Linked DNA regions of Saccharomyces cerevisiae S288C. Changing the gene in region 1 together with any one later gene gives a genetic interaction. Each region holds a gene or a part of one and is shown on either strand. Other genes may lie near its edges.

What was found.
Region 2: mutations in NFI1 (region 1) and SLX5 impair growth when combined (synthetic growth defect), as found in Saccharomyces cerevisiae (5 studies listed by BioGRID, with this or other methods).

What each region holds. Positions count from the first base shown.
Region 1 is NC_001147.6:626,900-632,129, forward strand, and holds NFI1 (SUMO ligase NFI1), read right to left. Parts: upstream 3,642-5,230; coding exon 1,461-3,641; downstream 1-1,460. Other genes in the region: ISN1 (IMP 5'-nucleotidase), read right to left, coding at 1-1,081; PUP1 (proteasome core particle subunit beta 2), read right to left, coding at 4,067-4,852. UniProt on the Saccharomyces cerevisiae protein: May act as an E3 ligase mediating SUMO/Smt3 attachment to septins. May be involved in chromosome maintenance.
Region 2 is NC_001136.10:427,509-431,906, reverse strand, and holds SLX5 (SUMO-targeted ubiquitin ligase complex subunit SLX5), read right to left. Parts: upstream 2,841-4,398; coding exon 981-2,840; downstream 1-980. Other genes in the region: YDL012C (uncharacterized protein), read left to right, coding at 390-434, 521-799; rRNA methyltransferase NOP1, read right to left, coding at 3,560-4,398. UniProt on the Saccharomyces cerevisiae protein: Component of the SUMO-targeted ubiquitin ligase (STUbL) complex SLX5/SLX8 that mediates ubiquitination and subsequent desumoylation of sumoylated proteins and proteins containing SUMO-like domains for their degradation.

The sequences.
Region 1 (5,230 bases):
CAAAAGACTCTAAAGTGTTTTGAAGGGTTAAAACTATTTCCTCCAGTTGTTCCCTATCAAGCTTAACAGGAACTTGTCTTTTAGAAGCTTCATCGTACCGTTCGCCTGGGACGATACCCACTGCCCTGACTTTACGGATAATAGAAATCTCTGAAGGTAGGTTTAGTCTTTTTCTTAACCTGTTAAGAGTTCTCTCGGCAAAGTCCAAAGTCTTTTCCACGTCCTCGAGGGACCAAGCCTTCATTCTAGGCAATAGCCATTCCTCTTTGTCAATTTGTCTAAAGCCAAAGTTATCTTCCTCCGGGTCTTCATAGTAACGGAAAAGGTAACTCGACTCACCACCCATTATTGTTAAATTCTGCTTTTGAGAAACTGGTATATCAGTTGAATCATGTAATGCAACAATTAATCCTTTCAATCTGTTCTCATAGGTTCCAGCTTCATCATATCCGGCCGCAGTGACTATTCCCACATTGATACCGCACCGCAACAGCTTGAGAATATAAGGAATTACAGGATTAGTGTAAACCAGGGAGCCACCATCTTCATACAGCGTCACATCTCCATCAAAAGTCACTAATCTCAAAACCTTACCATTATGTAAGTTCTCCTGTTTCTTAAAGTGAAATATCTGTGCAGTATTCAGGATATGCCTGATATCATTAAAACTGGGTGCTACCATTCTACGCGCCGAAATGGCCCGTTGTGAGTCTTCCCATAGAAAAGCTTGTTCCAATGGAAGTTCCGTAAAGAATGTTCCAATTGATGGAACCAAAAGATTTAAACGCGATTGTCCTAATATATTCAGAGATTGAGAAGAGGCGCCATCTTCAATTTCGTCTTGGCTCATGTTTCTTGAGTCAAATTCTATTTTATCTTTAATCAGCCCTTCAATGTCTTTAAAGATATCAGCATACTGCGACCTTACACGTTGAGTTGTTGCTAAGTCGTCATTGTAGTCACCTTCATGAGAGACGGCATGTAGAACAAAAGGTGAGGCCAGTAGCCCCTTTACCCAATCTATAAACTCATCCTTGCGGTGGCTCTTCAAATGATATTCCACTCTATATCTTGAGGACATTGCTATTATAAGTTAACTCACGATCTTTTGTTACTTTCTTTGAATAGTTTTCTTTTCTTAGTACATTCCTTTACCTTTTAAATTTTGTTAATTTAAGGGCGGCCTGTCCCGCTAAACGTGGGAAGTGAAAGGACATGAAATATTATAGTGTAATACAGGAAGTATACAGAGAAATCTATAGAAACCTATCACTGCAGATTCGCACACTACACCCATGAAGTAACCACAGTAGTAAAAAAACATAACAAAAGTCGTAATATTTATCAAAACAAAAACATCATTTACGCCCAAAAGTGGAAGTCAATATTAAGAGCGAAATGAAACAATAGAAATAAAAATAGAATACAATCGGAAAGGAAAGAAATCAAAAGACGGTTAATCAATCTGATGTTAAATCGACCACTTCCGAGTTATCTTGAGCCGATGTGTTAAAGTCATTAGTTTGGGCCAGAGTTTTATTCATTATGGCGTGATTTGCCTGTGGTCTCCGTTTCATAAGGGTGGCGTATGGATTCTTCGGAATGTAGATAGAAACATTAGAATGCCTTCTCTTCCTAATTTTTCCATCATCCCCATGGCCGCTGGTGCTCACGTGTATATATGGAGGGAGATGTGCCGCCGATGTGGTCCTTGTTGGTAGTTCAGTTTCTGCTTCTGAATTTGGGTCCACAGGGGGGATTGGAGGCAAATCACCTTCGATTCCCAAAAGATTACGATCTTGAGCTGTGGTATTGTAATTAGGTCCGTAGGGGTTTCTCTGCGCTTCCGTTTGATTAGTCAAATTTTGTAGAACAGCCGGTAATAGTGGCGTTGATGGCCCTCTATTGTAGAATATTCTGCTGTCACCATTCGTCGCCGTAACGAAAGAATTAATACTGCTATTGTTCGTCGGTGTGTCATTTATATTTGTAGTAGCGCCTTGGTTCAAAAATGACCTCATTTGAAAAGCATCTTGATAATTATCTTGGTCCATAGTTGGAGAACCTTTCGGCGTTGATGTATGATTGGGGTTGTAGTCACTGGATCCTTCCGATTCTGAGGGAAATATATCTGCTCTTAATTGGTCATTACGGGGGTTCACGTGCGTTGGGAAGCTTTTACTAGCCGGAATAAAGGCTTCATCATCTGAGCTATCCAGAGATATTATTTCGGGTTCGTTGTGGTTTGAACCATTACGCAAATTAGTATCGAAGGCATTTCGGCTGTCATAATCTTGCTCTTGTTTGACAGTGCCTTGGTTCTCGTTTTTCACACTGTGATTTTGGTTAACAGTATCCGTTATAACGGCCGAACTATTATGAATCGGTTTCCATGAGCCATCAACAGATATCTCAACTTGCTCAACATCTTCATTGCAATTTTGAATAATATTATCTACAAATTCGGAAATCTTCAACTGGTCGAATTTTATAGGGTGTTGACAAATCGGACACTGCCATGTAGGGACTTGTGACTGAGAGTGAAGAAACCAGAGAGCATCAAAACATTGGATATGCTTACATTGGTCAGTCTTCGCCGGATACTTCATCCTTGTACAAGATATAGGACATTGCAAACTCAGCACCGTGGAGGTTGTAATAATATCGTCATCATCTTGCTCATTCAAGGTTCTTTTGATGTATGCTGTGGTGGCTTGCTTGATAATTTTGGGCCTTTTCAGAATTTTCCCCAGAAGAGCTTCAGGTGAAAAAACTTCCACTATAAAGCAACTTATAGAGTACTCTTTATCAATATTGAGATAATGTAAGTCTAGGTGATTCATCTCGGTCGGTACTTTAAGATAAGGCGTTAAATTTGCAGGATTACCTGTCCCATTTTGTTTCTTTAAACCTTTCACGTTGTCCTCTAGTTTGGTGCCATTAAACACTAGTTCACAGGGATACGGGAAATCTATTGCCTCATGGCCCACAGTTTCATATATAAACGGTATTGAAAAGCCAGAAAACAAATACAGTTTATAACTCTTGTTAGATTTCAAAAGATCATGATTAGATTTACTTACCTTGAACTTCATTTTTGTACAACCTCTTCCTGCAGATTGCTTCAATTTTTTATTGGCATCCGGTATTTGTACTATTGGTTTGTAAAACGGTGAGGTAAAAGAATATGCTAAGGCCTGTTGTTGGGAATAAGGTGGCAATGCAGTACTCTGGAGAGCTGTCACGGGTAGTTGCCCCGATGCTACAGGATGCTTGAACGCACCCGTCTTTAAAGTTTCCCAAAGGGTAGAGTATTTTGGTAATGATGAGTTTATCCTTACTTTCGCGATAAGAATCTTAATAGCCTTAGGCCTCCACGGATCTATATGTCCAATATCACAGGATTTTCTTAAGAATTGTTTTATTCGGTCTTGTAAGACAGCCTTTTTGCCCGTTATGGATAAATCCAGAGATTTGCATATTTGCTTTAACTCTAGAACCTTTAATTGTTCCATTTCATTTATTGCATCTTTTATTTCATTTATGAGTCCACCACCTGTGTTGGACAAAGGGTTCGTAAACATATAACTGGCATTATTATTATTATTATTATTATTATTATTTGACATGACACTTGCCATCGTGCTCTTTTCCCTTATACGTTTCTTGATTATCAGTGTATCGTTTGTGGTATTCTTAGTTCCTTGATATTTGCCTCAGTAATAGCCCTTTAAAGACCAACAAACGGATGACTATAGAAATGTTAATTTTAGTGTTATGTTATATGTGTGGTACTGAGCTGTGTTTGTTATATTATGCTCTGTGTGATAAAATAGCTAAAATGGATGGATAAATTAACACGAAAATTAACGAACAAAAATCAACTAACACACTTCAAAGCATAAAAAAAAGAAAAAAGAAAAAGAATCAAGAACAAATAATAAGCTCTGCTATAAGAAAATATATTATGTAAATAGTTTTGCGGTTAGTTTTTGACTTCCTTTATCACATTTTGTTGAACAATGATTTACTATACTAAAATATACTTAAGTTCTATGTTTTACTTTCAAGCCGTTATATCGACTTGTTCTTCTTGTATGTCACAAATATTGACAATACTCTCCTTCAGCACAGCAGTTGTACCCCTGGGGAATTTGTAGCTTTTCTGCTTTTCTTCTCTAACATTTGGAGTCAAGTAATTCCTCAAGTATTCTGCATCTTTACCTATTTCCATGACACACACATCCACATTAGAACCAGACCCCAAATCATTCCAGATACCAGCCTGGATTGCATCAGAGGCCAACTTTATGGCTTCCTCCTTCGTAAGGTCTTGCTTCCAGTGTGATTCCAACACAGCCATTGCCGCTAGAGAACCAGATCCTAGAGAAAGGTAGTAGCCCACGTCAGTAGAACCATGCGCATGAATGGAGAACAAATGAGATCCCGTAGGGTCTACACCTGCAACAATCAAATAAGCACCAATATGACCTTGGTACTTAAATAGGTGCTGCTTTAGCATTTGTAAAGCTGAGACCACTCTTGGTTCTCTCGAGGTATATAAGGAATGTAATTCAATGTTAGACCCGATCAACTGCGTAACTGCCTCAGTATCGGCGGCGGTACCGGCACCAGCACACCATATTTTGGGGGAAATTCTATGCAATTTTGCGCAATTCTTATCTGCGACAATTGGACCTTGTGTTGATCTTGTATCTGCTGCAATCACCACTCCGTTATTGAATTTTACGCCTACAATGGTGGTACCCGTGGAAGTTGCCTTAGGTTGTGTGTGCGAGTTTTCCGCTAAGAAATTATTTCTTTGATAATTGTCGAACGATAAACCTGCCATGCTCACTCAATTCTATTTTCTACAATCAGGTTTATGTGGGGGGAGTATTCCTGAAAAAATTTAACGCTTTACTATACAAACTCTCCACCTCAACTGATCACCCTTCTGCTGAATTATTAGTTTATCCTTTTCATCTTTCTTTTTGGTATTTTGCCACTCGGCCGGGTTATAAAATACGAAACATGGCCCTAATTTACCCGCTTTTACAATAAAGGGTTTGTAATGAGGGTAAAAATATTGGCCCTAATGAAAAATCACTAGCAACGGAAGTGCAAGTAGAACCCTGAAGTCGCCGAGTAGGAAAGTGATTCCCAAGAGGAGTAGAATAAAGAAGAGAATCTACATATGGATTATTTAGGTAATAGTTTCATTGCTGAT
Region 2 (4,398 bases), on another chromosome or scaffold:
GCAAGTAGATTATCCTCTAGTTAAATTAAACGCGGATGAACTACGCCATTAAATCCATCATAAGAAACTAATTACTACTTTTAGGAAATTAGCCAACTAAAAACTGCTGAAACGCCACATTTCACATAAAACCCCACGGAGCAGTAATGGGAGATCTTAAGCTCAGCCCAGTACATATGTCCATCAGCCTTGAATAGCCACGGTGAGTTCTCGAAGCTTCCTTCCACCTAGTCCAGAATATTTCTTGGTAAATGGCTCGAAGTTTTCGTATTAAACGATGCTATCAGCGGCATCGTGAAATATTGAAATATAAAAAGTATTTACGCAACCGAAAAGGATATTAAGACAAACCCATACAATAGCCCATAAACCAAGCAAATACACATCTCATGTCAGCTCAAGATTATTACGGAAACTCTGCCTCCAAACAAAGCGTACGTTAATTTTACAAGTTTTGCCTTTAGAAGATCACATCGTACTAACGAGCCCTTGTATTTTCATTACATCACTTTCGATTCAGTATTCTCGTCCTAGCGCTCCACCACCAGGATATGAAACGGCGTCTAGAGGTTACGCTCCATCGCAAAGCCAACAGAACTATTATCCACCTCAACAGCAGCAGCAGCAGTATCAGCAACAACCTCAATACTATCAGCAACAGCAGCCCCAATATTACCAACAACACCCACAGCAGCCCATTTATGTCCAACAACAACCGGCCAGTTCTGGAAATGAAGACTGTCTAGCGGGCTGTCTAGCGGGTTTATGTTTATGCTGTACTTTGGATATGCTGTTTTAGAGTATCTCCATATCTTGTGGGAGCAAACCCTTTCACACAAATCCACTATATAAAACAAAGCACAATTGCACCTCTGATCTTTTAATCTTAATTAAATAAGCGTGATTAAAGTGTTCATGCAAGTAGATAATATATAATGATGATAAGTTCGAAAATGCCCTTATAAAAATTAAACCGCGTGCTAGAAGTAAACCTCCTTCAACCTGCCTCTTGAACGAATAAGCTTCTTACAAGAATCTGCGGGACATAATTTGGGGCCATAATTATCCGGATGAGCCGAACCCTTTAGTTGAGCTAGTTTCTTTTTGGGCATCTTAGATTTTTTTTTTGCATTGTCAATCCTGGCGAAACACCTACCACAAAATGCATGACCACACGATGCAATAAACGTTCGTTTTGATAAATCTCTATCAAGCATTGATGGTCTGGCTAGGGTTTGGTAGGGGCAGTGGAATTTGTATTTTGACACTAACCCTTCAAATGAAACACCACGATCCTTTTGACTGATTCCAGTAAAATCATCCGGTATTCCGACCCCCAATTCTGCGCCACACAAGCAACAAACAGGAATATCCTCGAGTGTTTTTGCTAAATCGTCATCTGTCACAATGATGGTTTCTTCTTTACCATTTTTCGTAATGTCTAATTTCATTTTTGGCGTAGTATCAAATGACGCGCTATAACCTTCGGGTAGGCTGGCTGCCCTAGCTTCGAATTCTTCCTGTTGGGCTCTGGTTTTGTTCATTAGATTCTTCATGACCACATCCCGCTCTCGTTCTTCTCTCTCTTGGATCATATCAATGATATTTTGAGTGTGTCGTTCCTCGTCAGCATCGCTCAATGCTGGGCCACTCCACAAACGACTTAAGAACCCATCCTCTCCATTGAAATTAAGATAGTTTGTGATTGATTCACGTAATGTGCCACGATGGAAAACTCTTCCTGCCGTTCTTTCTTGTCTTTCCAATGCTTCTCGGTGAAGTCTCAAGGCCTCTTCCTGAGTATTTCTGACCCTATCAATGGCCCAATTCTGCAGCAGTTGATTTCTGAACTCAGTGAAGAGTGCCATTAGTTCTTCTTCACATTCTTGCAAAGTAATTGGAGCAACATTTTGTAAAATAGACCTGAATTCATGCAGTGACTCTGCACGATGAAAAGCACTACGAATATCAGGCGTATATGATTGTATTCGTTCCCTGATTGATTGTAACCTAATAGATGTACTTATATTTTCGTCACTGGACACCCTTTGCTGTTGTACCCTACGTTGTCTTTCTGCAATCCGTCTGCTCATTCGCATACGGCTCTCCCTACGAGCCCTTTGAATAGCTTCTGGTAAATTATGGGTATCATCTGTCCAATCTTCATCGTTTTCATCAGACCGGTCCACAAATAAATTACGGGCTCTTGTAGCACTCCTTCTCAGTAACTGCCTGCGTGATGCGCCTAGATCTTCTTGGAATTCAAATGACCTTCTTATCGGTATGTCTGTTGTCGTCGCAGTTACCTCAAGCCTCTCCCCGCCTGGCAGGTTCAGTGTCACTCTGGGTCGTGTTGTTCTCTCTTCAACTATTGTCAGGCCATCATCACTTTCATTGTTATTACCATTATCATTCAAGTACCCGTTTGTGTTATCTACTTGTATTGTTCTTGGAGTTTCTAACGTTTCAGAACCTGGCTCCTGATCAAGATCGACGTAATGTGCAGAAGGATCAATAGGTCCATCGTCTCCAAAAAACCGTCCAACTTCTCGTATTATAGTGATATCGTCGTTATTAGCTTGAAAATCAGGGCGCTCAGAGCTTGCTGTTATGTGAGTCCGTTGAGAATTCCTGCTCCTTGAATCTGACCTCACAAACCTATTTAAAGCATCACGTCGTCTCCCTACCCGTCTGTCTGGGTACAACCTCACAGGAAGGTTAGCCTCGCGAATAGAAGCGTCTTCTTCCTTATCACTATCTATTAATATAACTGTCTCATTTGGATTATTGTCTGATGGGCTATTATTGCTCTTTGTTCGACCGTTAGTATCGCTATGCATTCTATTATTTCGACTATTAGAGGAGCTCCGCGTTCCAAATAATAATTTTTGGACTGAAATCTTTTCAAAAGTTCACTCCTAGACTGAAGCTCCTAGTGCAAATTTCGACTTGGTTATTACCAATCAACGCAACACACGCTCTTCTTAATGATTAAGTCTTCGTTTTGGTCGCACACTGCCTCTCATCCATGTTAAATAGTAAATATTGCGACCTTGCGTATACAGTGATGTTTCTTATGGGCAAAGCCAAAAAAAAAAAAATACGTAAGAGTGACAGATGAAGAAGTGACACTTTGAACAAAAGACTCTATCAAAATTTTTTCAGATTCAATCCAAGGATAAAGAGAAATCTATGATGTAGTGTTACAAGAATTAATGATATATGGTCATCAAACAGTGTCGAGACTGGAGAACAGCTTATCGATATTGTTCCTACCTTTAAAAAACTCGAAATATGATTATGATTTCTACTTGCTTGCTCTTAACAATTAATGACCAAAAAGTCACCACATATACTCTTTTTTTTTTATATGGCGAATACGTACAATACTTTTGTTCTCTAAAAGAATTTAGTAATATCTATTTTACAAAGTCGAGGGTTACAAAAACTTCAAATAGGAAGTGAAACTGAATGGGGGAAATATATATAAACGAAACAATTATTCTGCTAATAATTGAGCAAGCTACCAGAAACTTTTGACTAATTTCCTTTATTCAACTTATTTCTTCAAACCGCTTCTCATGTATCTACCAACGACGATACAATGGTCTCTTTCATATGGCTCTAAAGTCAATTGTTCTAATGGCTTAATACGTTCCTCACGTAACTTTTGAACTTCTCTAGCAAAAACGGTTTCCGCGTCTACAGTAGAATCAATACAGTTAGCCTTAATGGAGATAACAACACCACCTTGGTCCTTCAAGAACATATGAGAGTTCAATGCAATAATACGAGCTTGATCAGGCTGGGCAACATCTGCGAAGACACAGTCAACCATACCAATCAACATTCTGTATTTTTGTGGGTGTCTAGCATCTTCAATGATTGGGATGATATTAGGTCTCTTCTTTGCCATAGAAATCAATTCTCTGCCTGGTCTGTGAGAAAATTCTACGGCGTAGACAACACCTTCTGGACCAACAACATCTGAAACGTGAGAAACAGAAGTACCGGAAGCAGCACCTAAATATAAAACTTTCTTGCCTGGGGCAATAAATAATTCATCTAGACCACCCATAATACCGGCAGCCAACTTAGATCTGAATGGGTTCCATACACGGTATTCGACCTTGGTTGGTGGGACACCATCTTCCTTAGATGGTTCTTCAACGGAGATTCTCTTTTCACCATAAACTGATTCACCTGGGGCCATGTTCTTGGTAACTAGCAAATCTTCTTTACCTCTAGCAATGTAAACACCGGCATGTCTATGTGGTTCAATAACGACCTTGGCACCACCACGGGCACCACCAGCAGCGCCACCTCTACCACCTCTGGAGCCACCACGGGCACCACCACGAGAACCGCCTCTACCACCGAAGCCGCCTCTGGAACCAC